7 linked regions of the Bombyx mori genome follow. The protein of the gene in region 1 purifies or fractionates together with the protein of each later gene. This does not show direct contact. Links are inferred from orthologs where the notes say so. Each region holds a gene or a part of one and is shown on either strand. Other genes may lie near its edges.

Region 1 (3,500 bases):
CGAGTCCGCGCGGGTAGGTACCACTTCTCTGCCTGTTTCAGCCGTGAAGCAGTAATGCGTTTCGGTTTGAAGGGCAGCTGTTGTACTGTTAAAAATGAGACCTTACAACTTATATCTCAAGGTGGGTGATGGCATTTAAGTTTCAGATGTCTATGAACTCCTGTAACCACTTAACACCAGGTGGTTTGTGACCTCGTCCACCCATCTATGCAATAGAAAAGAACTCCATCCCCCTATAAAAATCACCACCCGTTCTATGTTAGACAGAAAAAAGATTACCTCATCGATGAATAGCACCCCCGGAATCATTTCTGCCTTCCCCTCCTCTCTCCACTCAGCCACCTTACTGTTAATCTGCTCCCGAATCTCAGATTTAATCTCGCCCGTGTCGCCTGAGAACACAAAGTCGGTCCGTGGACATCAAAACCTTGGAGGTTTGGGGTCCGGCTAGTTTAGAGACCTTATCACTTGACCAGGTGGAATAACAGACTCTAGAGCTCCAGCCAGGTACTGAAGGAGTGCTGATCTGGAGATCTGACAGTTCAAGGATTTATCCTTCGAGTACATCTATTGGATCAGATCGGCAGGACCCAGCGAGAGACTCAGTTGACTGATGCTACGGTCTAAGACTGGATCCTTTATGTCTTTAAGGGTAAGGACAAAGGGAACATCTTCCACCGAGCAGGATTGATGCGTCTTACGATGTTCCGCCATCTCTCCCTGCTCGAGGTCATTCTACTGCACTCATTTAGGGAACCTCCCACTGCAGTTTTAATTTGGGCTTTCCACCACATTGGTGACCTCTGGAACTTGTATATACGCACATATATCTCGAAAATGTCGTTAGCGAGATTCAGGCATTGATCATTAAGACAGGGGTTCCCAAGCATATTTTGTCTACGGCCCACTTTGAGAATAAATTATTTTTAACGCCCCCATTTTCTCAACTACTTAAAAACCCCTATAGCGAGAGGTCAGTCGGTGACTAAGGGTATCCTAGTTGAAATTACTAATCGCCTCCCAAGCCTCTACACAACGCCCCCCATTTTTTTATCTGGGTCTCTTACAGCCCCCCTTTAGGCCTGCAGCACCCAAAAGGGGGCGTTATCGCCCACTTTGAGAAAGGCTGATTTGAGAGATGTATGTCCCATTACCTTTTGCTCTAGATCAGGGGTGGGCAAATATTTTGATTAGTCAGTTTTTTTTCTAATTTTATATTGTGCGACTATTATACATAGTGTAATAATTGTTCAATTATCATAATTATATTTTCGAATAGGAGGCGCTGAATAGAGCGGTTGTCCGGGAGAAAATTTTCCCACCGGCCCTGATAGTATGTATTGGTATTGCTTAATATTTTATCTAAAAAATTTTATGCAATGTGTTTTTAATAATAATATATTATATACAATGCTTCACGGGCCAAACAAAATTCTACCTCCGCCATTTGCCCAGGCCTGCTCTAGATAGTTTATTAGATAGCATTAAGAGGTATCCGGACAACTGCTCCACCCTTCGACTTACGAAGGCAGTCCTGCCGGTTCAATGCGCACAGACTCACCGGAGAACAGTGCCAGGAAGCCGTGGGTCCTGGAGTTGATGACGTCCACCTCGTGCAGCGTCACCGTGTGCACCACCTCCTTGCGCTTCTGCAGCTCGCCCTCGGGGCACTGCACGAACCTGGCCTGCTGACCTGATTGATGTATACAAATAATAATGTCATATACTATTTATTTGTTACTCACTGAGGGTCGGGATAAAAAAAAAAAAAAAAAGTGTGTGTGTGTGTGTGTGTGTGTGCAAGTCACACGTGGTAGAAGTGAAACATATAAAAATATAAAAATAATCGCAAAGGTCACCCAGCAGTGCAATGGAGCAGTCTCACTCTGGGGGAACCGCCTGCATGATTACGGTATCCCTACGTCAGGTATTTTGTTTTTTTTTTCCTACCTAAGCTGATAGCCTTGAGAGGCTATTTCAGCGGAACCTTAACTAGTAGATGAGCTCACGGGCTCAAACCTGACGACGTTGCTAACACTGGTCCTAGCAAGAGTAGTGCTTCGCAGAATCTATTACCGGATCGGCAATGCGACCCGCTGAGAAGATCCGGCGAGAAACTCAGTGGGCTGTGTCTGAGGGTTAATTTACTCGTCGAGCCTATCGTCGCAAGCGACGGGTTCGACGAAAACGGTGACCGGCGCCAGGTAAGTATGATTTAGCAAGAGAAATACGAGAACGTCTATCAACTGTGTAACATCTCGTCACCGCGACTCAGGAATTGTTGAATTTACGTGCAGCGATATCTGTTGATAACAAGCCAAATATAAATAATTTTAAATCATCTTGTATAGTATGAGGTAGCGCCCTCTATGAATTGATATTTTAACTTCACTTAAAACGTGTTCTATCTGATTCTCTCGCCGGCTGAATCCTATACATATATGTGTTTGTGTCTCTATGGACTTATTTTTTCGTTTCGTTTCATTTCGTTTCATCGAGTTTGAAATCACAACGATTCTAAAGAAGTGACACTTCAAAACTTCCAGCGAAGTACTAAATTAAAACTCTATTAAGCACTTAGAATACTTAAGGAACACTTTATAATTCGCACTTCACTTCTTCCGCTTCGCTTCGAGTAGATTCGAGTCGATTACTAACTGCCTTCGTGTCATCTCTTTTATAGCTTTTATAGCCAGGACAACATCTCTACAATTACCGAGAACATTCCTGGTAGGACCAGTCGTTTCGATAGGTGTTTCCGCTATTTGATAATAGATGCAAGTTACACTTCTCGAGCATTCCCGATTTTATTAGTTCTTTTAATATTCGTTTTTGCTATTCGGCGACAGATGGCATTATTATTATCAGCGTAATAAGAACTTAATGCAAATTATTGTATAATCATCGGTCCTTGACACAAGTGAAAATTTTCAAGTCGATCAAACATCTTAAGCAATTTGAAAGAATCCGTTACATACAATTGATTTGTCAGATTTTTTTTTTATTTTTTTTTTGTGCAGGCATTTTACTATAGGCAGACGAGCATACGGCCTACTTGATGGGAAGCAGTTACCGTCACCCATGGACCTCAGCAATGTCAGGAGCAGAGCCAAGTCGCTGCCTACCGTATATCTAGTGTTTGTTTAAAGATAGGCTCCTTCCAAATCATTCCTTTCACATTGTCTTCGATACATTGGCAATTCAATATAGCTGCTCACCGGTAGCATCATAGTCTCTGGCTCTGGCAAAACTCCTGCCGAGCTTGTTTATTTTGCCTGTAGCCTTGTCTATGGTGATCACATCTCCGGCTTGAACCTGTCAACAAGAAAATCGTTCAGCAACTAGTTCGGACCTAGCAAGCTAGAGTCTAGTCAGCAAGTATGTGGCTTATTTGGTATTAAATAGTTACTGGATCTCATGGACATCAACAAGGTGGTGAGGTTACTTGAACTAGGTTAACTAGGTTATATATTATATTATATACTATAACGAATACAGCT
Region 2 (4,170 bases), on another chromosome or scaffold:
CGGCTGTACGTTGATATATTGTATAAACTGCTGGCCATTTTAGGTGATACTAATTTATTGATTCCGTAAAATAATAATGAAGACTTTATACAGCACGTATTTATTCGAGGTTTTCTTGCTTCACAACGGTCGGTGTTATTGAAATACCATAAAAAATATGCACAAATCATCCATTTGAGTCTACGATTTGACAGGTGCTTCTTTTAAACGAACTTTGAAAAAAGTCCCGATAAGCAGAAGATCTTGGCAATTTCAATCCATAATAATACTATTCAATGCGAAAGTGGGATTGGTGGTTTGTTGCGCTTTCATGTTTTAACTACCCAGCTGGTCAAGACGAAATTTTTCGTACAAATTGTAAGATTACAAAATAACAAAAAGAAAATTAGCTCGGAGAAATCACACATGTTCAGTTGGCCCCAAACTAGATAAATAAATACATAGCTATACCTTTAAAAGTACGTTTATAACATTTAAAATGGCTCAATACTTTCATTCATTTATACGGATATCAACATCCAAACAAATAGTAAACAAATCTGTTCATCACACTAATGTTTACCTGATCTGGGAATCGAACCCACGATATTTTTTTGCTTTTGATGCCAACAAAAAATCTGAAAGTAATATCGCCATCGCATTCACGGCCACGGAACTTGTATGACATTATTTCGTGCATTGATCTTGAAGCAGGATTCTGCCTACTATGTTGCTTCGAAATAATTTTGTACCTAGAAATATTTTCACATAAGTTGATAAAGATACCTGATAAAATCAACCGCCTTTAATCTAAAAACTTAAATATTAGCTAGTAACCAATATAGACCTAGGGATCTAGACAAAGTGTGCTCTTAAATATTAAGTACATATATTATCTGTGAATGTACTAGCGTTAATGTGAATATTAGATATGTAAATACAGAAGTACCGTATTTATTATATTTAATTTTAAGGAATTGACATAATAAATAATAATTACCTATGCTAACGAAACGTCACGTGGTCTAACTCATGTCAATCCCTTAAAATCATACCCGTCCGGGCATAGCTGGAATAAGACCTCAGGTACCTTCAGACAGGGAGTAGACTCAGTGGTCAAGGCTCAGGTACATCAGGTTTTTTAAAACTAGGTCATTTAATATAATAATATGACGTAACAATTATGTAAAATTATTATCTGCTGTATAAAAAAGTTACAAATCAATTAGGCATCATTAAAAAAATACAAATCTGCGTGCCACGAATCGTATTGTTTACAATTTATCCCTGAACTTTATGTTGGCACCCCGAGCCTTTGAAGAAAAAATGAGATAAAAGCATATGCAATACCTTAGAGCGAACGAAGTAGCAATACTAGTGTCAGCTGCATTTGAAAGTAAACGAAATTCGACGAGTCTCCGCCATGTTGTTGTATGAATCGAGTGACGGTGGGTCGGATATTGTGCATTTAATTTGTAAAAATTATTTAAAAGTCGTGAAAACAGTTAATCTGTTTGGCTTGCACGGCCAAGGTAAGTTTTATTCGCATTAATTTTAATTAAATAATGATATTAGTCACCTTAATATCTCGACCAGTACAAGTTATTTTATGGGGTCGGGTGTGGTGTTCGGTATTTAGTTCATGGTGCACTTATTTGTTTTGTTTTCCGCTGTTCCAAAAGTATTTCCTAGTGGGAAGCATTAAATAAATGCAAATGTTTATGTGATTAAGTTCTAATGTGAACCATGCTTTAATTCTTATGAATCGATCGATAACGTACAAAGCGGAGACATGTTTTATGGTATTTTTTACAACAGGGGACGGGTGCATCGTCGCATCGTCTAAATCATGAGTTATCAAATTCCATCATCGCAAAGTCGCACAAGTAAGTAATTTATATTGATTCTTTTGTAAATGTAAATTTATCATATCATTGCCATTCAAAAAGCTTGAGTACTTACTGAACGCTGTTCAAACCACTTACTTCGATACAATTGAATGAATCGGTTTGTGTCTATCGTGACTCATGCATATGGCATTACTTGAACGATAAATTTATAAATGAACTTTAACTTTTCTGTATCTCAGTACATTCTCTGCTAAGTAGCAAAAGAAAAAGAAATCCTAAAACACGAAAACATTGGAATTGAAACTGAGGGAAAAAATTACATTTTGAATCATACATTCTCAGTTCATTTATTTGAAAACAATTTTTAAACAAATTGCAAATAAATTAGATTAAAAGGAAATTTGAAATATAATTTGTTATGATTTGAGAACTCTCAAAAAGGTTCTTCAATTAATGAAAATACAGGTATAACAAGATTAGGATTCAACATAATTGAAACTTCAATCTCTTGTCAAAAGACGTGGAGTTCACATTAATGGCATAAAGTAACCACTTTATTTTAGTTTAAGTTTAGCTCCTGCAACTACTTACTAATTCTCTTTATGTTCGCTTGAAATTAAACCCATACTACCCCTTACATTCCTACAGAAATATATATATATCTCTCTGTTTTGTGTGAATAAAAAACGAGAAAACATCATTATTTTACAGTGTCGCACAGCAGCTATGTTGCTTCTGATGTGCCAATGGCACCAAACAAAGAGCAGCAGACATTGATGTGGCAGCAAAACTCCTATTTAGTGGACTCTGGAATCAACTCTGGAGCTGCTACCCAGGTAATGTTATCAGACTGTCTATTATAAAATACAGCAGTAATATTGTCCTATTTCATTATAAAAATTGGATTAAAATAAAATACGGCTTGTCTTCTTAATTTAACATAATTTTGGGATGGACACAACTGAAAATCTATCTTTATCAATACAACAACATAAGTCATTCAATATACAAAATAATGATGAAGTTTGATTAAATTTTTTATTATGATGACACTTCATAATATGAGATACCTGAACTACGTGTGCTCTAAACCTTGCTGATTTTATCATGGAACTTTTAACTGTTAAACGTAGAATGATCTAAAGAAAAAGAAAAAACATTTTCTGTCTCATTTAGTCGTGACTGAACCATACAAACTAGCAGTTTGAAAATTACTTCTGCATATTAAATAGATTTTGAATTGAACTGAGCAGTACTTTCATTAGTGAAATCTGTTATGGTATTTCATTGATTTTATCTGGCCTGTGTTCTTTAAGTAAGGACAGTAAATATGAGCAAAACACCATCCATTATAGTGTGAAGATATTCTTGCATTTTAGTTTTTAGAGTACACGTCAAGCCTTGTGTACTTCTTAATAGTTGTTTAAGCACTGATGAAACTAAAATCTTAGTATACAGCTCGAAAAGTAATATAAAATATCATAAAAATGCACAAAAGATCAGCTATAGTGATAATTGCTAACTTTTATTTGATATTTAAAAAATATTTTTTATTCCCAAAAGTACAAAAGATTTTTTATGAGAATACATAACCATACCTTTGTAACTTGACTGAGAGTGATAATCAGATGACTCCTACCTTTTTGAATAGTCACATCAATTTATTTTAGTTAAATGTATGATTCTCTTCAGGTTCCATCACTAACTGGCAAGGAAGATGATGAGATGGAAGGTGACCAACTTATGTTTGACCTTGATCAGGGTTTTGCTCAGGGATTCACTCAAGAACAAGTTGATGGTGAGTTGTTTCCCCATTTCATTTAGAAACGTTTGAATGTACAATATAGAAATAATTTTACACAAAAATTCTTATGACAATACAAGCTGTTTGGATTGTTGTATTCAATATCATATGCTTTACTTTCAGATATGAATCAACAGCTTTCTCAAACTAGATCTCAAAGAGTCCGTGCGGCTATGTTTCCTGAAACGCTGGAGGAAGGAATTGAAATTCCATCGACACAGCTGGATCCCGCTCAACCAACTGCTGTCCAGCGTTTAGCTGAACCTTCCCAGATGTTAAAGCATGCTGTGGTGAACCTCATCAATTATCAAGATGATGCTGATTTAGCTACCAGGTATAATTATGTAATATAATAGCCTAACACCAGATATTCTATCAGATCATCAGGCAACAAGCATGAAAAAAAAAACATTACACTATTATTATTCATTTGTTCTATTCCTATTGATTTTAAATTTGTTTCAGAGCTATTCCAGAGTTGATAAAGCTACTGAATGATGAAGATCAAGTAGTAGTATCCCAAGCTGCCATGATGGT
Region 3 (4,297 bases), on another chromosome or scaffold:
ATTATAAAAAGGTTAAGAGGCTCAAACATAGTACATATTTCTATTTATATAGTGATTTTATTTTTGAGTCTTGCCAAGAAGTTGATAAAATTAATTTCGTTTCATTCCAGTTTAATTGTTACTTTCATTTTGGTTTCAACCTTACGTATATTTCTTTCAGTAGCAAAGTATACTTGAAATGTTTCAATTGCAGTTGAAATGTTGCATTTAGTATGTACTTTACTTTCAACAAAATGAAAAACTATTAAGAATTCTAGCTAGGAACTCGAGGAAATAATCTGAATTGTTTTATTTTGTTATTATTATGATTATGTTATGTTATTTGGTGCATCTTGTAAACGTGTAATATTAGTTTCTTATTAAACGTTTAGTATTTAAGAAAATGCACAATTTTGAAACAAAATCACGGAACGCTGTTTGTAGTGTTCTTTCAAATTCATTCAACTGCATTGAACTTCTTATAATTTCCTACCAAATTACTGAGATGTTATTTCATTTCATGTAACTCTGCACGGTATCTATAGCTTATGTTTCCTTTGCATAATCAAGAGTGAATAAAGAAATAAAAATAAGTTTGACATACTCTGGTTTTAAGTAGAGATGGCCAAAAATGGCAATTTTTATTGATGAAGACGATGTTTTCCTTTTTACAAATAGTGCTTATAAAATAAAATAAACTAAATATCGAGACCGTTTACCTTTTTCTGTTGTAGAAAATAAGCATTCCAAAAGCAACGACGTCGCGTCAATTAATAAATGACGATAATTATGTTCTTAGCTTGGATCCTACTACTAGTCTCAAAGACCGATACGACCATTTTAAAGCATTGTCCTTTCAGCTTAAAGGGCTATTATAGCTATGTACAGATGGGTAGGTGAGCTCATGGGCTCAACCTAAGAGAATTTTACACCTAACACTAGTGTTAAAACAAGATAAAACTAGTGCTGCAAGAGCAGCACTTCGCAGAATATAGTACTAGATCGGAATCGTGACCCACTGAGAAGATCCGGCGAGAAACTCAATGGGATATTTCTATGGGTTAGTTCAGTCGTCGAACTGTTCGTCGAAATTGAGGTTTCATGAAAACGGTGACCGTTGCTTGAAGAGCCTGAAAGCACCTGGAGTGGATTCGGGCGATCCGACAAGGCATCTTTGGAATGACAGCGGCTATAAGTTGCGCCGTCACCTGGATCGTAAAAGTAACTGGCAGTGACTACGATAAGTGGGTTAGTCGGGCCCTTTGTCGACGTAGCGTTCTGATGCAACCTTAAAATATTCACGTATCGGTTATAATCATAGTGAAGTTTAAATAGTTCTGAAAACTGGTGATTATGCATCATCATATAATCAACGTTGGATTCGATATGCATTGCTATAGCATTGTTCGATACTCTATCGAAACAAAATTTCGTGCACCGCGTAACACTACATCGATACTCGATAATGTCGATACGTATCGCGCATCTTCAGTGATTAGTGTAAATGTCAAATGTAAATGACAAATGTCAAACGGATGTTTCCGTTATGCCGGAGGGGGATTACCATGCGTTGTTTCATTGTTTGTTAACGAAATAGCTTCTACCTAATTATTTTATGAGGGTTAAATCTTAAGATATATCAAGTCCACGGTACCGAAGTAACGAACTTGTTACTTTTTTGTGAATCAGTCCATTGTTTGACTGCATCGCAATCAGTTTTAATACTAAACAAAGGCAGTTGGTGCCTGACTAGAAGATCAATAGTATACATCATGCTTACTCCACGTTTTAAATTAACGCAAGACGACAACCACATATTCGTAACAGTTCACGCACCGTATACAAACATTGGAGATACAGAAATAGATGTTGATGGCGAAAATTTCCTTTTTGTGTCTAGTCCTTACTTCCTTCGATTGCGATTACCTGGCAGGATCGTTGATGATGATCGGGCAAAAGGTTCATACACTTGTGATTCGGGAGACTTCAATCTCACATTTGAAAAAGAAACTGCCGGGGAACATTTTGAGAACCTTGATATGATCACAAATTTACTAGCACCTCGTGATATACCAGATGTCAATCCTAATCTAGTTGAAATGCTTGAAGAAGATGGAATTACCCTGGAAAATGATAGTGACAGTGAGAACTTAGAAAAATTCACATATGGCTTTGCTAATAAAATATCCAATGAATTTTGCAGCATCGGAAATGAATTTCCACAAATTTTTGAATTAAAAGCACCTGAAAATGTTGCTGTGGACGAACGTAATTCTATGAGGATGAAACATGAAAATGATAAATTCTCGTCTGATCATTATCTAGCAGACTTTTTTGATGATGAACTTCTTGCACCCTACTTATCATCCACTTCTTATTGGGACAAAGGGGATTTCAAAAATGAAGTAGAATTTACAGATGAAGAAGTAGCCATATTAAAAGAATTGCCAAACAAGCATTATTTGCTAAGCAAAGAAGAGTATAGAGAAATTATGCTCGGATTAATAGATATCTTGTTTGGGTATTGCTACGACAAAAGAACAACATTAAATGAAAGCACAGTGGAGTCAAGCTGGACCATAAACAAGCTTTCTTCAACACTAAGTTGGTTCTGCACTTTCTTAGATACAAGACATGTTTTGATTGCATGCTACAGGAGAGCACTCACTTATCCGATATTTAGGAACTATGAGCTGTGTAACAAAGTAAAGAATGATCTAGTATCACTATTACGTAAAGGCAAGAAATTGGTAATAAAATGTATGATTGAAGTACATCAAATGTTCAACACTAGTAATGATGCACGTTATATCTTAAACCAGCTTTATATCAAAGACTATTTGGTGTTCTTACAAAAATGTCGTAATGAGGAAATCATGGAAATATGCAATAATATAGCTAATATTGAGCTCTGTAAAAAAGATTTGAACTTAGAGTTAGATGAATTGGAAATGGCTGCTGAAATGGTTAAACAGGAAGAAACTGAAATCATGGAGAATGAGATGGCCGTCCAAATGGCTTCCATGTCTTTACTACCGGGACTGAAAAAGAATATTGCTCCATACCTTGATGAGAGTGATGATGACACTGACAGCTCAACGGACTCAAGTGATGATAGTTCTTCTGAAGATTCCTCTGATGAAGGCCTAGATTCTGATGATGATCCATGAAAAACAAGAGGAGTGTAAATAATTCAATTCTCGAAAGACACTAATTAGTGTGAATTTGCATGTTTTGATTGCACTTAATTTGGTTCATGCAATCAATTAATGAATTTATTTTATAAATTTTAAGATATTTGAATATGTTAGAAAGACTGAATAGTTTAGTGTCAAGAGAATAAAGGGCTGGTTTAAAGGTTTGAAAGATTCTATAATAATTAAAAAATTTAATTATATATTAATTCATCATTAAATTCTATTTAACCTATGGCAGAGTTTCAGACATTTGATAACCAATACTTTCAATGTTATTTTGAAAGTTGTGTGCACAAATGCACAGCCCACCTGATTTGAAGTGATAGAATGTCCTAGCCACTATTATTCTGTGGCAAAGATAGGCATGGCTGTAGAGTCTACACACTGCCTCCTGCAAACTGCATAGGTACTTGAAATTTAATAATTTTATTATAATGTAACACTGCCATTTTTTAAAGAAGGCAATTATTTATGTTAAGCAAAACTATAGTAGTGTTCAGTTTCTTCTCAATTTTCAAGAAAATTAATCATGTATCTCTAAGTCTAGATTAGCAATCAATGATCGATTACTGACTGCAAAGTGTAGTCTAAAGTAAGCATATTAAAAACTGATTAACCAAATCGTTGAGAAATGAGAACATTTTTAATAAACAAAATTATCTATGTATTGACATTTTCGTGAAATAAATAACTGTTTATAAAATATCACATTTATTTTACTAGTTTTCTTTTTGTTAGTTTCTAGTTTTTATGGCAGTTATAGCCATAACAGATTGTTGTTGTTGTTGTTGTTGTTGTAGTCCTAGGGCACCCTGCTGGTACATAGGGCCCTCACAAGTTGTCTCCACTTGACCCTGTCTTGAGCTTGCGTCTCCACTTGACCCTGTCTTGAGCTTGCTCCTTGACATCACTCCAGATCACGTCATCCATAAATTACGTCACACGTTATGGGGCAGGTTATCAACAGAATGTGATATTGTGTGACATAGGGCCGGGGGTCACAAGTGTTACGTGACGATTTAAGATTTAAAAAACTTACTAAAAAGTCAGCTCCTTTCTCTGTTATCTAACATATTTGACTAAGGTATGTTGACTTGATTAAATAATAATTAATAAAAATA
Region 4 (4,189 bases), on another chromosome or scaffold:
TAATAATCAGGGAAAAACATTGATTTCAAAATATATTTCTAAAAAGTCTAGTTCTCCATTAAAGTGTGGAGTAGTTTTCTTAATTCATTTTAATTTCTATCAAGCAACTAACACAATTGAGATTTTGATTCAAAATATGCTAATGATAGCTTCACATTGAGTTTAATTTTGACAAAATAAGTTATAAAATAAGATAACTAAACCTGAAGATAATTAAATAGACAAACATATCTACAGAAACGACCTTGAAACTAGTGACAGCCCACACAATAGCAAATTGCAAACTTTATTTAGTAAAAAATATATTTATATGACTACTTTTTTTTTCAATTAAAAACTGAATCGTTAGTACTTAAAATCCCAACGTGTTAGCTTCGTAATTACGGTTCAACTGCAATAATTGCAGTATTTCATATATTTATTCAAATGTTTTTTAAAAGCAAATGTCAATTAGTATGCAGCTAAATTGACAAATTTAGACAGCAACATTTTTCGCAACGTAACACAGCTTACATACTACGTAAACACAACGTATATCTACGTACAGTCAGGTTCGCACCATGCTAAAATCGATATATTCAATTCAAAAACACATTTTCGTGCGGCAAAACAAAATCATACCTGCAGGCTTTAATGGAACTATTTCCTGGACTAAATCGCCCCGTTTTAATAGTTCGGTGAATATTACTTCTATTGTAAGCATTAGCGGCGTATAATTGTCTGTTTCGACCTGTAATATAAATGTTAAAATCACGAATTACAAATGTAACCTATGACGCATTACATTTTTCGTTGTACTAAATGAACAAGGGATTTCATGCTCACCTCAAACATCTGCAATATATCAGCAAGATTGTTCGCATGTTTTCTGGAGTTAAGAAACTCATTTGCTTTATTACGAAGCTGTCCCGAAATCATTTTCGAAAAATTTTGTTGCACAGCAGCCATTTTTGTATTGAAAAGGATTGACAAAAAGTGACAACTGATCAGGCGGGCAACCTTAGAAAATATGGTTTCGTTTAGTAATTAGGTAAACGACTAATGAACATGCCTGTGCCTAGGAAACTCTTATTTTATTTTCTAAAAATATATTAATTGAAATCAAAATCAGAATTAATAGCTTTATATTAAAGTAGGTTCACATCAAATCTTTTTAATCGTTTTAACTATATTATCTAAAAAAACAAACCACTAGAGCAACAATGTAAGCTTGCATTAAAATAATCTCTGTGAAAATACACAAATATTATTACGAAATATTAGTTTAAAAACTAACCATAAGACATTTAAATGATATTTTTTGATAGTATTAAAACATTGCTAAATTATTAGTGCTGCTCTTTACCTATGTTTTTTTCATACAGTCCAATTCGTTTATTTTCGTTTAGAAATGAAACCAGATTTTAAGGTTATCTTGCTGTCAAAGTCAAAACTTGTTCAAAACAATCTTTAGAGCATCGGCAGTTGTTTTGGATAATTATTTTTCGGAAATATTTTCAAAATATAGTTATCAATATTAAAAATGGACGGAGATTTATATGACGAATTTGGAAACTACATCGGGCCAGACTTGGAGTCTGATTCTGAAGACGAACAGAGTGTATATGGTCAGGATAATCGTGAAGGTGATGAGGAAGCAATGGAGGAGGACGAGGACGCAGACGCGGAGCCCGAAGTTGCGCCTATGTCCGTCGTTCTTCATGAGGACAAACGGTAAAACTTTTTCATTTAAAACTAACAAATAAAGCGGCCTTACAAGATGTTAACCCACTTTACCGGTACTAGCGACGCACATGCTAGACCATAGAACAAGCACACTCAGACCTCGAATACCTAATATTTTTAACAAAGAAAAAAGTACTGAGAAAAGCTATGCTCTGTTTTGGTATTTGTTAAAATTAGTTATTGATTAATAATAACATTATTAACCATCAAACTTCAGTTACTATCCTCAAGCTGTAGAAGTGTATGGACCCGACGTAGAGACAGTCGTCCAAGAAGAAGATACACAGGCTCTCGACAAACCCCTGGTAGAGCCTGTGAAACACAAGAAGTTCCAGGTTCAAGAACAGCAGCTACCAGAGACCACCTACGACATGGAGTACATGGCTGACATGTTAGATAATACTAACTTAATCAGAAATATTACGTTAATGGGCCACTTGCACAATGGTATGTGATGTGATTTCAATGAAATAAATAAGAGACAAGTCATCCATGAGCTTTTTGTAGAGCTTTTATTTGTTAATAATAAATTAATTTGATTATTATTATTACATTTTCTATAATTACCATTCAACTTATAATGTTGAGTTTCATAAAAACTACTTTATACTATGTACACACAGATAACCGTAAAATCTTTAAAGTGTATTGAATAAAATAAAATGAAACTATTGGAATTATATTATTATTATTATATATAGAGGCCTATTTTCTGCAGTGGACGGCGATAGGCTGAAATGATGATGATGATGATGATGATGATGATTAAATGCAAGAAAACTGAAGAAAAGACTAAGATTTAAGTGATCAATATTAATCTAAAATAGGATTTAGTAACAAAAATAAAAAAATGTGCAGATCAGAAAAAGAAATTTCATATTTCCTATCGAAAATTAGTGAGTGTTATTTGATCTTCTTAAAACTGTTTTATTTCAGGAAAAACATCTTTTGTAGACTGTCTCATGAGACAGACACATCCTGGAACAATTAACAATGAGACAACAATACCTATAAGGTATACAGATACTCTGTTTGTGGAGCAAGAGCGAGGAGTGTCGATAAAGTCCATGCCGGTAACATTGCTATTGAAGGATATAAAGGGAAAGTCACATTTATTGAATATCATGGATACTCCAGGTCACGTGAACTTCAGTGATGAGGTGACTGCTGCTTTGCGGATATCGGATGGTAATTTTTTTACTGAAGAGGAAAGCTTATTTGTGAAATACTTATCAATTCTCAATACTCATAAAAGCAATTTAACCAACAATCAAAGTCATGTGTGTTTCTTTATTTGACATTATAACCATAAGTCGACATCTGAGCATTTTTAATTGTTGAGGTTATTATCAAAAATGTACACGCTTCACAAATGCTGCCTATGAAAATTCATTTTAAAATATTTTTTAAAAAGAGGTTTCAGTATAAACAAATACAGGTTAATTTTGTCTTTTATAGGAGCGGTACTCTTTGTGGACGCTGCTGAAGGTATAATGCTCAACACGGAGCGAATGTTACGTCATGCAGTACAAGAAAGAATTCATTTAACTCTTTGCATCAACAAAATAGACAGGCTAATGCTTGAGCTAAAATTACCTCCTGCAGATGCCTATTATAAGCTCAGGCATATTATTGATGAGCTGAATTCTATGCTGGAGACCAATCAACCTCAGGATAATCCTGATGAGCCTCCAATTGTATTTTCACCACTTCTGGGTAAGTTATTAGTATCTCCTATAGCCAGGTTTGTCACCAACCATACCTGGAGTATAAGTAACAACAATTGTACTGTACTAAGTTTCATGTCAATTGGAATGGATCAATTTCAAATAAACATTGTGTCTTAGATAAGGTACAGAACATTGCCAAAAGTTGTTTTTTTTTTTCATTTTTATTTTTTTTATTTTTTTATTGCCTTTGTAGGCAGACGAGCATACGGCCCACCTGATGGTAAGTGGTCACCGTCGCTCATGGACGTCAGCTTAGCCAGGGGCAGAGCCAAGCCGCTGCCTACCATAAAGTACTCTTTGGACCAAATGTGAATTCAAATGGTAATTATGTAGCCATCTACACAAATAAGAGAAATGAATACTTTAATCCATTTTTAAGGCGATTGCTAAGTTGAATGAGTATACTGTTGTCCAGGTAATGTCTGCTTCGCGTCAACATTGTACGACGTGTGTTTCTCTCTGGAATCGTTTGCGGCGATGTACGCTGCCTCGTACCCTGCGTGCGGACTGCGGGCATCCGACATGGCGGGCTGGCTGTGGGGCGATGTCTACTTCAACGCGAAGACTAGACGCTTCACGAAGAAACAACCTCATGCCTCTGCTCAGAGAAGCTTCGTGGAGTTCATATTGGAGCCGCTGTACAAGATTTTTGCTCAAGTAATTGATTGTAAATAATAATTAATTAGAAAATATCAACAATCCATGGATTGACCCTGCAGATACCGGACCCGTTA
Region 5 (3,581 bases), on another chromosome or scaffold:
CAGCTACAAATATTGCATCTGACTATAAATTATGATTTTAAATTGTATACCAAATTAAAGCCTAACTGACGAGTCTGAGAGCAATTTCTAATTAATACAAAATACAAATCATACAAATGAATTGTCAAATAGACAAGTCTGTTAATAAATACTAGACTAAAATACTATGGATCATTATGGATGTGTGTACCTAGTACGCAAGTATTGTCTAGTACTATACTACTGATCCGTTAATGTATATCCTGGATCTTAATAGTTTTATTAAATAATATCATGTCCAACGCTTAAACGACGCCAGTCCAATCCGTAATAACTTTGTAGGCTTATAGTTTCGGACAGATATTGTCCAGCCGAGCGGAACAGATAAATCAAACAAACAAAACCAAAGCTTTTCGAATTATTCTGAATAGTTGAAGAACCGTTTCGAAATAAACAATTCGGCTTAATATTTCCACGTGAGTTCATTCATACTTTAGTCTATATATGAAAACTATTCAGCAGTAGGCGAGCTGTATCCCATCTACTGATATAGATTTTAAAATTGCTTCAGCATAAGGCAATCAAAAATAAAACGGTTACAACTTGATGATTTCATAATTAAATCATTATGGTTACCGGAATTGTGGATTAAAAGACTTAAGATTTACTGACGTGTCCGACGGACTGAGGAACTAGTAAATAAAGCTTAACCTTGAGAGACGACTAACCAGACCGCCATTAATAATGCACAGGGTAAATAATAGTACCAGAATATGTTGAGGAAATCAGTTCAGTCTATTCCATTTACATAATCTATGCATGTCTAGGACCCAATCCAATTTAAAAAAAATCTAATACTAACCATAGATTTAGACACGTAACCTACTCCCAACCTGAGTTCTGAGTTTCTGAGTGAAATGAAATTGACATCTGACTTTTGCTAACATGAAAGAAAAAGCATTGTGTGAATTAACGTTGTAGGTACTTATTAACTCCATGGAATTAACATAATATATTAAGTGTATTATCTACGGTTCATGGAACAGACAAGGCTTATGGGCTTAGATCCTTTTGCCTTTCCTAATAAGGAAAAATTGTACCAAAAAAAATAACTATGGTTCTGATCTGAAATAAAAATAACAATTTTATGAATAAAATGGAAACAAACGTGAAGCCTCCTAAAAAAAAACCTACAACAATAGAAGACCTCACGAAAGAACAAATTCAACAAGCGATAATTAAGAAACGAGAGTGTAACTCAAAAGCGCAACATATAGTTGAAAGTTTTCTAGAAAATAGCATAAACGAAGTTTATTTCCTCAAATGCTTACCAGACCTAAACCAGTCTCATTTCGAAGATGTTATTGAAGAACGATCAATCATAAGTCTATGTGGTTACCCGCTCTGCTCGAACACATTATCCAAGAAAGACATACCGAAGCAAAAATACCGAATCTCCATGAAAACGAACAAAGTATATGATATTACAGTTAGAAAAAGCTTTTGCAGTAATAGTTGTTATAAATCTGCCATGCACATTAAAAAGCAGATGCTAACAAGCCCGCTTTGGTTTAGAGAATATGAGATAATCCCACAATTTAATTTATTACCAATGAATTCGGCAGATGGTTGCATGGGACAGGAGATTGATGTGTCAATAATTGACAGAGTGAAAGTAGAACTTGAAAACAAGCCTTTCGTAGTTACCAATGGTTTTGTAAAAGCTACTCTTAGAGATATGGCATCAAATAATGGTAAAGATGATGTATATAATAAAGCTACTGAGGAGCAAAATGAACAAAACTTTAAATTAAGTACAGAAAGTACTGAACTGGATGAAAAAGAAATGAAGCATAAAGACAGCGTAAATAAAGCATCAGAAGGGAAATCCTATATCTTAAATTCAGAATCAAATTCTGTTCAAACACAAAAGTATCTACAGGAAAAATCTTGTCCTGTATCAGTGAAGTCTGAAAATACTGATAAAATGAAAAAAGCAGTATACAATCCAATGAACATTGTCGGAGATATCATAGAAAAACCTGAGAAGAAAATTGATTTGACTTTACTAAGTGCAAAGGATGAACAAAATAACGCAAGCTCATCTCTATCTCAAGAAAAAAAGAAAGAGAAAAAGCCATTAGTGACTGTATTAATTGTAGAAGTGGAAAAATGTCTAGCAGAATGGTTTACTTTAGACACATTAATTTTTCTCTATGGCGAAGAGAAAGTGAGAGAAATGGTATCAGATAAAGAAGACAGTGTGAAAGAATATCTGAAAAATTTTACAAAAGGTACATTCTACAATTCCACAGCCTATGATCAATACCAAGCTTTATGCAGAAAACTTAATATGCTCGAATTAGAAGACAAACGTTATGATGCCAAAACAATGCAAAGGGAAATGAAACCGCTGCCAGATTACACTATACTACAGGAAGAAAGCAAGAAAATACAATTGAAAGTAAAGGCGTTTTTTGCTGGTCAAACTGAAATACCTGAACCAGAGCCTGAAGAAAAGAACACACAATCAGATGAGAACTTCACAGCTTTGCCATTAGTAGACAAGAATTCTCAAAATGCATTACGTAGACGAATAGTCTGTCAACATTTAAATAAGACCCTACCGGACATCTTGAGGTGCCTAGGTTTATTAAGTTTGGCCATAAGCACAGAGGTGCGTCTTTTGGTAAACACATTCAAATTGAAAGCAAATAATATAATGTTTAAGCCGATTCAGTGGACTATGATTACCATAATATTTATAAAACTTCTATCATTAAGAGATGTACACTTGGCACACTTATTGGAGCAACCAATGGCATACCAACATATTCAGTTGTTACTCTTGAGTTACAAACAAGATAATGGCTATTTAGATAGACTAATATTTTGGCTGACCGATGTTGATAGATTATTGAATACAAACAGTCACTGTGCTATAGAATGATTGTATGCATAATCTTACTGTAACATTAATGTAACTTGTGATATTTTAGATTGTAAATACTTGTTTTGTTCAAAACACTTTTTTTTAATTCAAAATATTGTTGTTTTAGTTTCATGGAATATAAACTTGCCAGAGTAATATTTATCAATAAACTCGCAAAATTTTTATTGCATTGATAATGCAGAAGCTCACAACTCAGCCAGTATAAAAAAAGGGTTCGTGTACTTATGTACGCTCGTAAGAAGTTATACTTTATTTTTATTAAATTTATTCCCTTTTTTTTTAGATATTAAATAATTAATAATAAATATTTAACGTTAATAATTTAATAATATTTAGTATGAATTATATTAAATAATAATTTTGTCATTTATATTACAAAAAATAATGCTGATAACACTTCTTTTTACGAGTGTACATGCGCGAAAGTTCACCTGCGGCTATATTCAGACCCGCCAAATTACGTCGGTAGATTTAGTGGGCAACTTCATTCTGTTAATTTTGTGTCACGGTGCGCGCGCATCGTAAAATTTCACTCTCATCAATTTTTCATAACGCGCCTAAAGAAGTATATATAACTTCAACAGTTACTGGACCCCATAAACATTACAAATTTAGATGCCATTGTGCTACTTGAGTCATGAGATTCTAG
Region 6 (4,053 bases), on another chromosome or scaffold:
CAAACGATTCCATTCCATGCAAATATGAGCTAACTTTTACGCTATCGAGAACGTTAAAAAACTCGCACCAAGCGCACAGTTCGACGAGAGAACTAGCCCATACACACAACTCATTGAGTTTCTCGCTGAACCTTCTTGGTGATTCGCGATTCCGATCCGGTGGTAGATTACACGAAGCATTTCTCTTGCTGGGGCCAGTGTTAGCAATTTCTCTCAGATTTAGCCTGTGAGCTCACTTACCCATCCGTATTGGCATAGCGCTAAAGGCTACCAGCAAATAGGGATGATCGATATTAGAAAAACATCGATTTAAAAGTGTCGATGTTTTTGGTAGGAAATAAAACTGTCTATTTTATTTATTACACGTGCTTATTAATTAAAACTACATTTTACGGATTTTAAGCAGTCGCTTAATTATTGGACTTGACTCCGACATCACATTTCACAATTTACAGTTTCCTTACTACTGTGGTGTGGCAGTAATGCGTTTTGAAGCACATTTATGTAGTAGGGCTTGATTATTACGTTAATCAGTGTCATCTAGTTTAAAATAGTTGTACTGCCTAGAGACTTGCTAGCTAGAAAGTTCATCCACCGTTAGATGGCCCTAAAAGATATATGGACGTTTCGATAATTCGATATTCTATTCTCATAACATCATGTGTCGATTTTATCGAAACCAAAACGATGTTTATTCAACATCGATGAATATCGATCATCTCTACCAGAGAATAGGTAGGGAAAAAATCACAGCCGGTGCAGTGTTTTAAAAAAATGTTGTTTCTTATAGAATAACAGTTTAGTATTTGTGAAAGTGAGACTATTGAACCAAACCTTTCTTGCTTGTCTTTCGAACATTCCATTAAATGGAATGCCCAACATTCAAGAGAGAAGTAATCTCATATTTTCTTCTTCTCTTAAAGAATCCGTGACATTTCCATCGACTTTCTTTCGCTTTCCCACACTTGTGCACTTTCATAGAAACTAAACGGCTAAAATCCATCATTATCAACGTTCAGACATTAAAATAAAGAATACAACACCAAATAACAATAAAATACACCCAACCACGATCTTCTCGTCGCCGTTAAAAAGTGCTAATAAATTTATTCAGTTTCAGTTCCAAACTATAGGTACATGAATCAGCCTTTTTAGCCAAAGACATGCTAAAGATTTTTAAAGAGATCGTTGCTAACGTTGGTAGTAACTAATATATTATAATCTGTGGTTGATTACATCCCCTTTGCCTGTCTTCTAACTGTCTAAGGAAAAATCAAATCAGTCAAATAAGAGTTGATTTGTTGATTAAATTAAATGAATTATTTGATTAAATGGAAAATATACATTTATGTTACGTATTTAAAGCTACCTAAATAAATAACATTTCCATTTTGCACATCCTTACAGTAATATTTCAGACCCAACTCAAGAAGATGCACATCTAATCTAATCAGTAATCACCGGTAACCTTTAAATAAAAGGTACGAAAATGAGCGAGACCTCTTGTTATATATTGGACAACGGAGCCTATACGGCTAAAGTTGGCTTCTCCAATTCCAAATCCAGGATAATACCTAATTGCATTATGAAGGCGAAATCTGAGAGACGCCGCCCTTTCATAGGCTCTCAGCTTGACGAGTGTCGCGACGCTTCAGGATTGTTCTACATCTTGCCTTTCCAGAAAGGTTTTCTAGTCAATTGGGACACTCAAAAAACCGTCTGGGACTTCATATTCAGCAAAGAATGCTGCCCAGTCAACTTCAATGACACCCCGCTGATCATAACCGAGCCGCTTTTTAACTTTGCCTCAATACAAGAGGCGATGACGGAAATATTCTTCGAAGAATACGAATGCCAGTCGTTGTTACGGATAAATGCTACAGATCTGGCTGAATACAATTATCGTAGGACTCATAAAAATGACTGCACAGTTGTAGTTGACTCCGGTTATAGTTTTACTTACATAGTTCCATACATAAATGGCAAAAAATATAAAGACGCGATTATAAGGATTGATGTTGGCGGGAAAGTGCTTACGAATCATTTGAAAGAGATCTTGTCGTATCGGCAATTGAACGTTATGGATGAAACCTATGTCATTAATCAAGTCAAAGAAGACTCCTGTTTTGTGTCCAAAGACTTTTTTGCGGATATGGAAATTGCTAAGAAGAAAGGTATATTTAAATTCATCGTTATGAATTATAGTTTCATTTAATCATGATTCAACATGTAATTGTGAAGCCTAGTAATGGAAGCTTAGTCTTAAAATTACAAATGACTAACAGTGCAAGTAAAATGAATAATTTTGCTAATCAATTCCATTTTAAAACAGCTTTATATTCTGATTGATTATGCAGCAGGTGGCTACAAATTGGTTTATATACCAATAGTTTTTGTGATATTATTATATTGGACAAATTAGGTTATTTTCTGCACCTAAAGATAGGCACTCAAACCACCTTAAATTTTCTCCAACAAAATGCAATCTTATATCTAGACGAGAGAGCTGCATTCATTTTGAAATGTTGTTTAGTTCCCCATACTCAACACTGAGTTGGCTATGAGCCACTTGACTTGAGTGCTCCTCTTCAGGTTCAGAGAATATATATTCACCAATACAAAAAATTTGCACCTAAATATCCATTTGGCTGTACTTATTTAATGTTATTAAAAAAAAGTTATTTTTATTCTAATTATGCTTACAGGACCAGAGAATGCAATTGTAAAAGACTATGTGTTGCCTGACTACACATCCTTGCGTCGAGGTTATCTACGAGACATAGTCCCACCAGAAGAGGACCTGGAACAACAGACATTACGGTTGAACAATGAGAGGTTTTCCATTCCGGAACTATTGTTCCACCCCTCAGACGTCGGCATCCAACAGATGGGAATACCAGAAGCCATCATGCACTCGATAAACTCTTGCCCAGAAGAGCATACGGAAAACCTACTGGCAAATATAGTTTTATACGGTGGGAACACATTATTCCCTGGTTTCCGTGACAGAGTTTACAACGATGTGCGTTCTTTAGCCTTAGATCATTTTGATGTGAACATTGAACTACCAGACAACCCGATCACATATGCTTGGGAAGGTGGAAAATATATATTTCGTGATCCAGAATTTTATTCGTTTTGTATGACTAAGGAAGAGTATGAGGAAGAAGGGAAGCCACTGGCATTTGAAAGGTTCGATATATAACGAAGAAAGCGAGCAAGGAAGTCTACGGAATAGGCTCTTGCTCGTTAAACATTGTGTGAAAATGAACGGGTATTATGATTTGGTAAGCCGTGAAAGAATCTGATCTTATGGCTTAAAGGTAACTAGAAATGGGACAATTGATAAAATGAAATGTGCTATGAAGAACACTTTTAATTATTTTGGATATAATAAACTATCTTTGGTGATGTGCCAACTATTTTTTATGTAAATTGTAATGTAATTTGTTATTGTCTTATCTTTTTCTGCTGCATTTAACCGAATACTAATGGGACTCTTGTAGAAATTCAAAAACACTTGAAACAATAAATTATTTTCTGTATAAAACTACTAATTACGAAATTTTTTTTACATTTCAATGTGACCTATATTGTTGATATGTGGCCACGTTTCGGCTTCATATACTCCTTGTGGGATACCCTGCATGCCAATTTAATATACTCTTTCTACTCTGAATTTCCTCATAACCTCGGTACTGGCTTCGCTTATACGTGTGCGGTCATAATTATGTTTATATATTATTATATTAAATTGGTTCTCAATTGTAATGCGATGCAACAGTGTTCGAATTCCGCAGGCGGGTACCAATTTTTCTAATGAAATACGTACTTAACAAATGTTCACGATTGACTTCCACAGTGAAGGAATAACATCGTGTAATAAAAATCAAACCCGCAAAATTATAATTTGCGTAATTACTGGTAGTAGGACCCCTTGTGAGTCCCCACAAGTGGGTACCACCACCCGCCTATTTCTGCCGTAAAGCAGTAATGCGTTCCGGTTTGAAGGGTGAGGCAGTCGTTTTAACTATACTGAAACCTTAGACCTCT
Region 7 (4,032 bases), on another chromosome or scaffold:
ACTTAACAAAAATAGACAATAGAATAAAAATATATTACTAGTATATAGTCACTCAGCTTAAAAGCTAATGAAACGCTCAATTAATTAGTGTAATAATAATCAACATCAACTTTTACAAATTTAAACCGAATTAAATTCTGTTTCAAATGTGAACGGTGGATGACGCTGTTCTTAATTATTTCAGATTTTAAAATTGAAATCTGAAAGCTTTGAAACGTCAATCTGCATAAATGTAATTCAAAAACTACAGTAAGAGGCTTAAATAAAAAGCTAAATTTAACTCAGCCTTAATTAAAATTTTTTTCGGAATTTAGTAGTAAAGTTCAAGTTATTTTGATGAAATCAAAACTGAAATATTCATAACATCTTAAACAATCACCTACGAATAAATATTATTTATTATATTATCTATTCAGTAGACAATCACAACGGTTTTATAGTTTTGGGAAGGGATTTTTTGTAACGCCATCTCGTGAAGTATTTCGGTATTACATTAATATAAAATAATTAATAATTGGGAATTTAATTATTTTTATGATCGAACAATCACCAATAGTCATCGAACAAACGATAATTGATCAAAATGAATTAAAATGAATTAATCGATAAAAATAAAGATATCTAGTAAGAGGGGCCCACTTAACGGTGATCATTTATTTAATTAATTATAAATAAACAAAAGACGAACAAACAATTTTTACATTCGAGCATTAACGAACAAACGACGAACAAATAATTAAAAATAAAAAAAATCCGAAAATAAAAAAAGGGGGCCAAATTTACAGAGCCATAACCTACTAACTTAAATATTAAGTGTATGATCTATACCTACGGCACACTGAATTTGGCCCCTCTTTTTTTGATTTTCAAATTTTTTTATTTTTAATTATTTGTCCGTTGTTTGTTCGTTAATGTTCATATGTAAAAAATCTTTGTTCGTCTTTTATTTATTTATAATTAATTAAACAAATGATCACATTAAGTTGGCTCCTTTTACTAGATATCTTTATTTTTATCACTCAGATTAATTAATTTTGATCAATTATCGTTTGTTTGACGACTATTGGTGATTGTTCGATCATAAAAACAATTGAATTCTCAATTATTAATTATTTTATATCTAATAAGCAAACCATCACCTCACGCCAACAAATATAAAAAAATCCAAAATAAAAAAGGGGGCTAAATTCACTGAGCCATTAAGCACATAATATTTGCATGTGTTTAATCTATGATATTTGCTACCATAGATAATAGAGCCTAGGAAAGGCGACGACGACGCATTTGCTTTAATATTTTCCAATTGAAAATACAGAAAGGCCATTAATAGCCTACAGTATATTTTTTAAATACAACACTCGCTTTAGCGAAGATGTATGATACAGAAGATGATCAATACGAAGAGGAAGATGTGGAAATAACACCTGAGCTTTGGCAAGAAGCTTGTTGGATTGTCATCAACGCTTATTTCGATGAAAAAGGTCTAGTGAGACAGCAATTAGATAGCTTCGATGAATTTATTCAAATGTCGGTACAACGTATAGTTGAAGATTCTCCACCCATAGAATTACAAGCAGAAGCACAACATTTCTCTGGTGAGATGGAAACACCACCAAAATATCGTCTTAAATTTGACCAAATTTATTTATCTAAACCTACTCATTGGGAGAAAGATGGAGCTCCATCTCCCATGATGCCCAATGAAGCACGTCTTCGTAATTTAACATATTCGGCACCTTTATATGTTGATATTACAAAAACAATAGAGAAAGAACATGAGGATCCTATTGAAACGCAACATCAGAAAACATTTATTGGCAAGATTCCTATTATGCTTAGATCTACATATTGCTTACTAAACAGTTTGACTGACCGTGACTTGTCAGAATTGAATGAATGCCCCTTAGATCCTGGTGGTTACTTCATTATTAATGGATCAGAAAAAGTACTAATTGCACAGGAAAAAATGGCTACCAATACTGTCTATGTATTCAGCATGAAGGATGGCAAATATGCTTACAAAACAGAAATAAGATCATGTCTGGAACATAGTTCTAGACCGACATCTACATTATGGGTTAATATGATGGCTCGAGGAGGACAAAATATAAAGAAATCTGCTATTGGTCAAAGAATTATGGCAATTGTCCCATATATCAAACAAGACATACCTATAATGATTGTATTCAGAGCTTTAGGTTTTGTTGCTGATAGAGATATATTGGAACACATTATATATGATTTTGATGATCCAGAAATGATGGAAATGGTTAAGCCATCTCTTGATGAGGCTTTTGTCATTCAAGAACAAAATGTAGCACTCAATTTTATTGGAAGCCGAGGAGCACGCCCAGGTGTCACCAAAGAAAGACGTATTAAATATGCTAGAGAAATCTTACAAAAGGAAATGTTGCCACATGTTGGAGTATCAGATTTTTGTGAAACAAAAAAAGCTTATTTTCTAGGCTACATGGTACACAGATTATTATTAGCTGCTTTGGGTCGAAGAGAACTGGATGATAGAGATCATTATGGCAACAAAAGATTAGATTTAGCAGGACCACTTTTGGCTTTTCTATTTAGAGGCTTATTCAAAAATTTACTAAAAGAAGTCCGAATGTATGCTCAAAAATTTATTGATAGAGGAAAAGATTTCAACTTGGAACTTGCTATCAAAACAAAAATCATCACTGATGGTCTTCGTTATTCTTTGGCAACTGGTAATTGGGGTGACCAAAAGAAAGCTCATCAGGCCCGAGCTGGAGTATCTCAAGTGTTGAACAGATTAACTTTTGCATCTACTTTATCCCATTTAAGACGTGTCAATTCTCCAATTGGACGTGATGGTAAACTTGCTAAACCACGTCAATTGCACAATACTTTATGGGGTATGATTTGTCCTGCTGAAACTCCAGAGGGAGCTGCTGTTGGCTTAGTGAAGAATTTAGCATTAATGGCTTATATCTCAGTAGGAAGTCAACCTTCACCAATTTTGGAGTTCTTGGAAGAATGGTCAATGGAAAACTTGGAAGAAATTGCACCATCAGCTATAGCTGATGCCACAAAGATATTTGTGAATGGTTGTTGGGTAGGAATACACAGGGACCCTGAACAGTTGATGGCTACACTACGTAAACTAAGACGTCATATGGACATCATTGTCTCTGAAGTCAGTATGATTAGAGATATAAGAGACAGAGAAATCAGAATCTATACAGATGCAGGTAGAATTTGTAGGCCATTACTTATTGTCAATAATGGTGTCTTATTGTTGAAAAAGAAGCACATAGATGATTTAAAAGAAAAGGACTACAATAACTATGGTTGGCAAAATTTGGTGGCTAGTGGAGTAGTTGAATATATTGATACTTTGGAAGAAGAAACTGTGATGATTGCCATGAGTTTAGATGACTTGAATCAAGTTAAAGAATATGCATATTGTACTACTTATACACATTGTGAGATTCATCCTGCAATGATTCTGGGTGTCTGTGCGTCTATTATTCCATTCCCAGATCATAATCAAAGTCCCAGAAATACTTATCAAAGTGCTATGGGTAAACAAGCTATGGGAGTTTATATCACAAATTTCCATGTTAGAATGGATACACTGGCTCATGTTTTGTATTATCCTCACAAACCCCTGGTTACGACAAGATCTATGGAATACTTACGATTTAGAGAATTGCCAGCAGGAATTAACTCCATTGTTGCTATTCTTTGTTATACCGGATATAACCAAGAAGATAGTGTTATTTTGAATGCATCTGCTGTAGAGAGAGGATTCTTTAGATCCGTATTTTACCGTTCATACAAAGATTCTGAATCTAAAAGAAATGGAGAACAAGAAGAACAGTTTGAAAAACCAACCAGACAGACATGTCAGGGTATGAGGAATGCTCTGTATGACAAATTAGATGATGATGGTATTATTGCTCCTGGTATTAGAGTATCAGGTGATGATGTTGTCATAGGAAAAACTATAACTTTGCCAGAAAATGATGATGAGTTGGAAGGTACAACAAAACGATT

What was found.
Region 2: the proteins of ruvB-like 2 (region 1) and armadillo segment polarity protein purify together in Homo sapiens (affinity purification with mass spectrometry; 5 studies listed by BioGRID, with this or other methods). This does not show direct contact. The link is inferred for Bombyx mori from reciprocal best matches to the Homo sapiens genes RUVBL2 and CTNNB1.
Region 3: the proteins of ruvB-like 2 (region 1) and protein SHQ1 homolog purify together in Homo sapiens (affinity purification with mass spectrometry; 4 studies listed by BioGRID and IntAct, with this or other methods). This does not show direct contact. The link is inferred for Bombyx mori from reciprocal best matches to the Homo sapiens genes RUVBL2 and SHQ1.
Region 4: the proteins of ruvB-like 2 (region 1) and 116 kDa U5 small nuclear ribonucleoprotein component purify together in Homo sapiens (affinity purification with mass spectrometry; 5 studies listed by BioGRID and IntAct, with this or other methods). This does not show direct contact. The link is inferred for Bombyx mori from reciprocal best matches to the Homo sapiens genes RUVBL2 and EFTUD2.
Region 5: the proteins of ruvB-like 2 (region 1) and putative RNA polymerase II subunit B1 CTD phosphatase RPAP2 purify together in Homo sapiens (affinity purification with mass spectrometry; 3 studies listed by BioGRID and IntAct, with this or other methods). This does not show direct contact. The link is inferred for Bombyx mori from reciprocal best matches to the Homo sapiens genes RUVBL2 and RPAP2.
Region 6: the proteins of ruvB-like 2 (region 1) and ARP6 actin-related protein 6-like protein purify together in Homo sapiens (co-immunoprecipitation; 7 studies listed by BioGRID and IntAct, counting the BioPlex papers as one, with this or other methods). This does not show direct contact. The link is inferred for Bombyx mori from reciprocal best matches to the Homo sapiens genes RUVBL2 and ACTR6.
Region 7: the proteins of ruvB-like 2 (region 1) and DNA-directed RNA polymerase II subunit RPB2 purify together in Homo sapiens (affinity purification with mass spectrometry; 3 studies listed by BioGRID and IntAct, with this or other methods). This does not show direct contact. The link is inferred for Bombyx mori from reciprocal best matches to the Homo sapiens genes RUVBL2 and POLR2B.

The regions. Positions count from the first base shown.
Region 1 is NC_085117.1:3,013,533-3,017,032, reverse strand, and holds part of ruvB-like 2, read right to left. Parts: intron 3,316-3,500; coding exon 3,219-3,315; intron 1,694-3,218; coding exon 1,562-1,693; intron 393-1,561; coding exon 280-392; intron 1-279. UniProt on the Homo sapiens protein: Possesses single-stranded DNA-stimulated ATPase and ATP-dependent DNA helicase (5' to 3') activity; hexamerization is thought to be critical for ATP hydrolysis and adjacent subunits in the ring-like structure contribute to the ATPase activity.
Region 2 is NC_085116.1:12,303,011-12,307,180, forward strand, and holds the start of armadillo segment polarity protein, read left to right. Parts: upstream 1-1,370; 5' UTR 1,371-1,511; intron 1,512-1,558; exon of another isoform or gene 1,559-1,755; intron 1,756-1,797; 5' UTR 1,798-1,828; coding exon 1,829-1,865; intron 1,866-1,937; exon of another isoform or gene 1,938-2,105; intron 2,106-2,540; coding exon 2,541-2,665; intron 2,666-3,521; coding exon 3,522-3,627; intron 3,628-3,756; coding exon 3,757-3,967; intron 3,968-4,098; coding exon 4,099-4,170. Other genes in the region: uncharacterized protein LOC101744306, read right to left, coding at 1-170. UniProt on the Homo sapiens protein: Key downstream component of the canonical Wnt signaling pathway.
Region 3 is NC_085132.1:6,847,900-6,852,196, forward strand, and holds protein SHQ1 homolog, read left to right. Parts: upstream 1-1,497; 5' UTR 1,498-1,751; coding exon 1,752-3,149; 3' UTR 3,150-3,881; downstream 3,882-4,297. UniProt on the Homo sapiens protein: Required for the quantitative accumulation of H/ACA ribonucleoproteins (RNPs), including telomerase, probably through the stabilization of DKC1, from the time of its synthesis until its association with NOP10, NHP2, and NAF1 at the nascent H/ACA RNA.
Region 4 is NC_085121.1:1,483,803-1,487,991, reverse strand, and holds the start of 116 kDa U5 small nuclear ribonucleoprotein component, read left to right. Parts: upstream 1-1,389; 5' UTR 1,390-1,522; coding exon 1,523-1,713; intron 1,714-1,942; coding exon 1,943-2,172; intron 2,173-2,661; coding exon 2,662-2,913; intron 2,914-3,183; coding exon 3,184-3,441; intron 3,442-3,870; coding exon 3,871-4,112; intron 4,113-4,189. Other genes in the region: nucleolar complex protein 4 homolog B, read right to left, coding at 622-730, 826-948. UniProt on the Homo sapiens protein: Required for pre-mRNA splicing as component of the spliceosome, including pre-catalytic, catalytic and post-catalytic spliceosomal complexes. Component of the U5 snRNP and the U4/U6-U5 tri-snRNP complex, a building block of the spliceosome.
Region 5 is NC_085121.1:1,520,202-1,523,782, forward strand, and holds putative RNA polymerase II subunit B1 CTD phosphatase RPAP2, read left to right. Parts: upstream 1-1,126; coding exon 1,127-2,929; 3' UTR 2,930-3,081; downstream 3,082-3,581. Other genes in the region: uncharacterized protein LOC101736188, read right to left, coding at 842-844.
Region 6 is NC_085108.1:3,056,634-3,060,686, forward strand, and holds ARP6 actin-related protein 6-like protein, read left to right. Parts: upstream 1-1,281; 5' UTR 1,282-1,489; coding exon 1,490-2,174; intron 2,175-2,705; coding exon 2,706-3,205; 3' UTR 3,206-3,553; downstream 3,554-4,053. UniProt on the Homo sapiens protein: Required for formation and/or maintenance of proper nucleolar structure and function. Plays a dual role in the regulation of ribosomal DNA (rDNA) transcription.
Region 7 is NC_085110.1:13,230,051-13,234,082, forward strand, and holds the start of DNA-directed RNA polymerase II subunit RPB2, read left to right. Parts: upstream 1-1,232; 5' UTR 1,233-1,372; coding exon 1,373-4,032. UniProt on the Homo sapiens protein: Catalytic core component of RNA polymerase II (Pol II), a DNA-dependent RNA polymerase which synthesizes mRNA precursors and many functional non-coding RNAs using the four ribonucleoside triphosphates as substrates.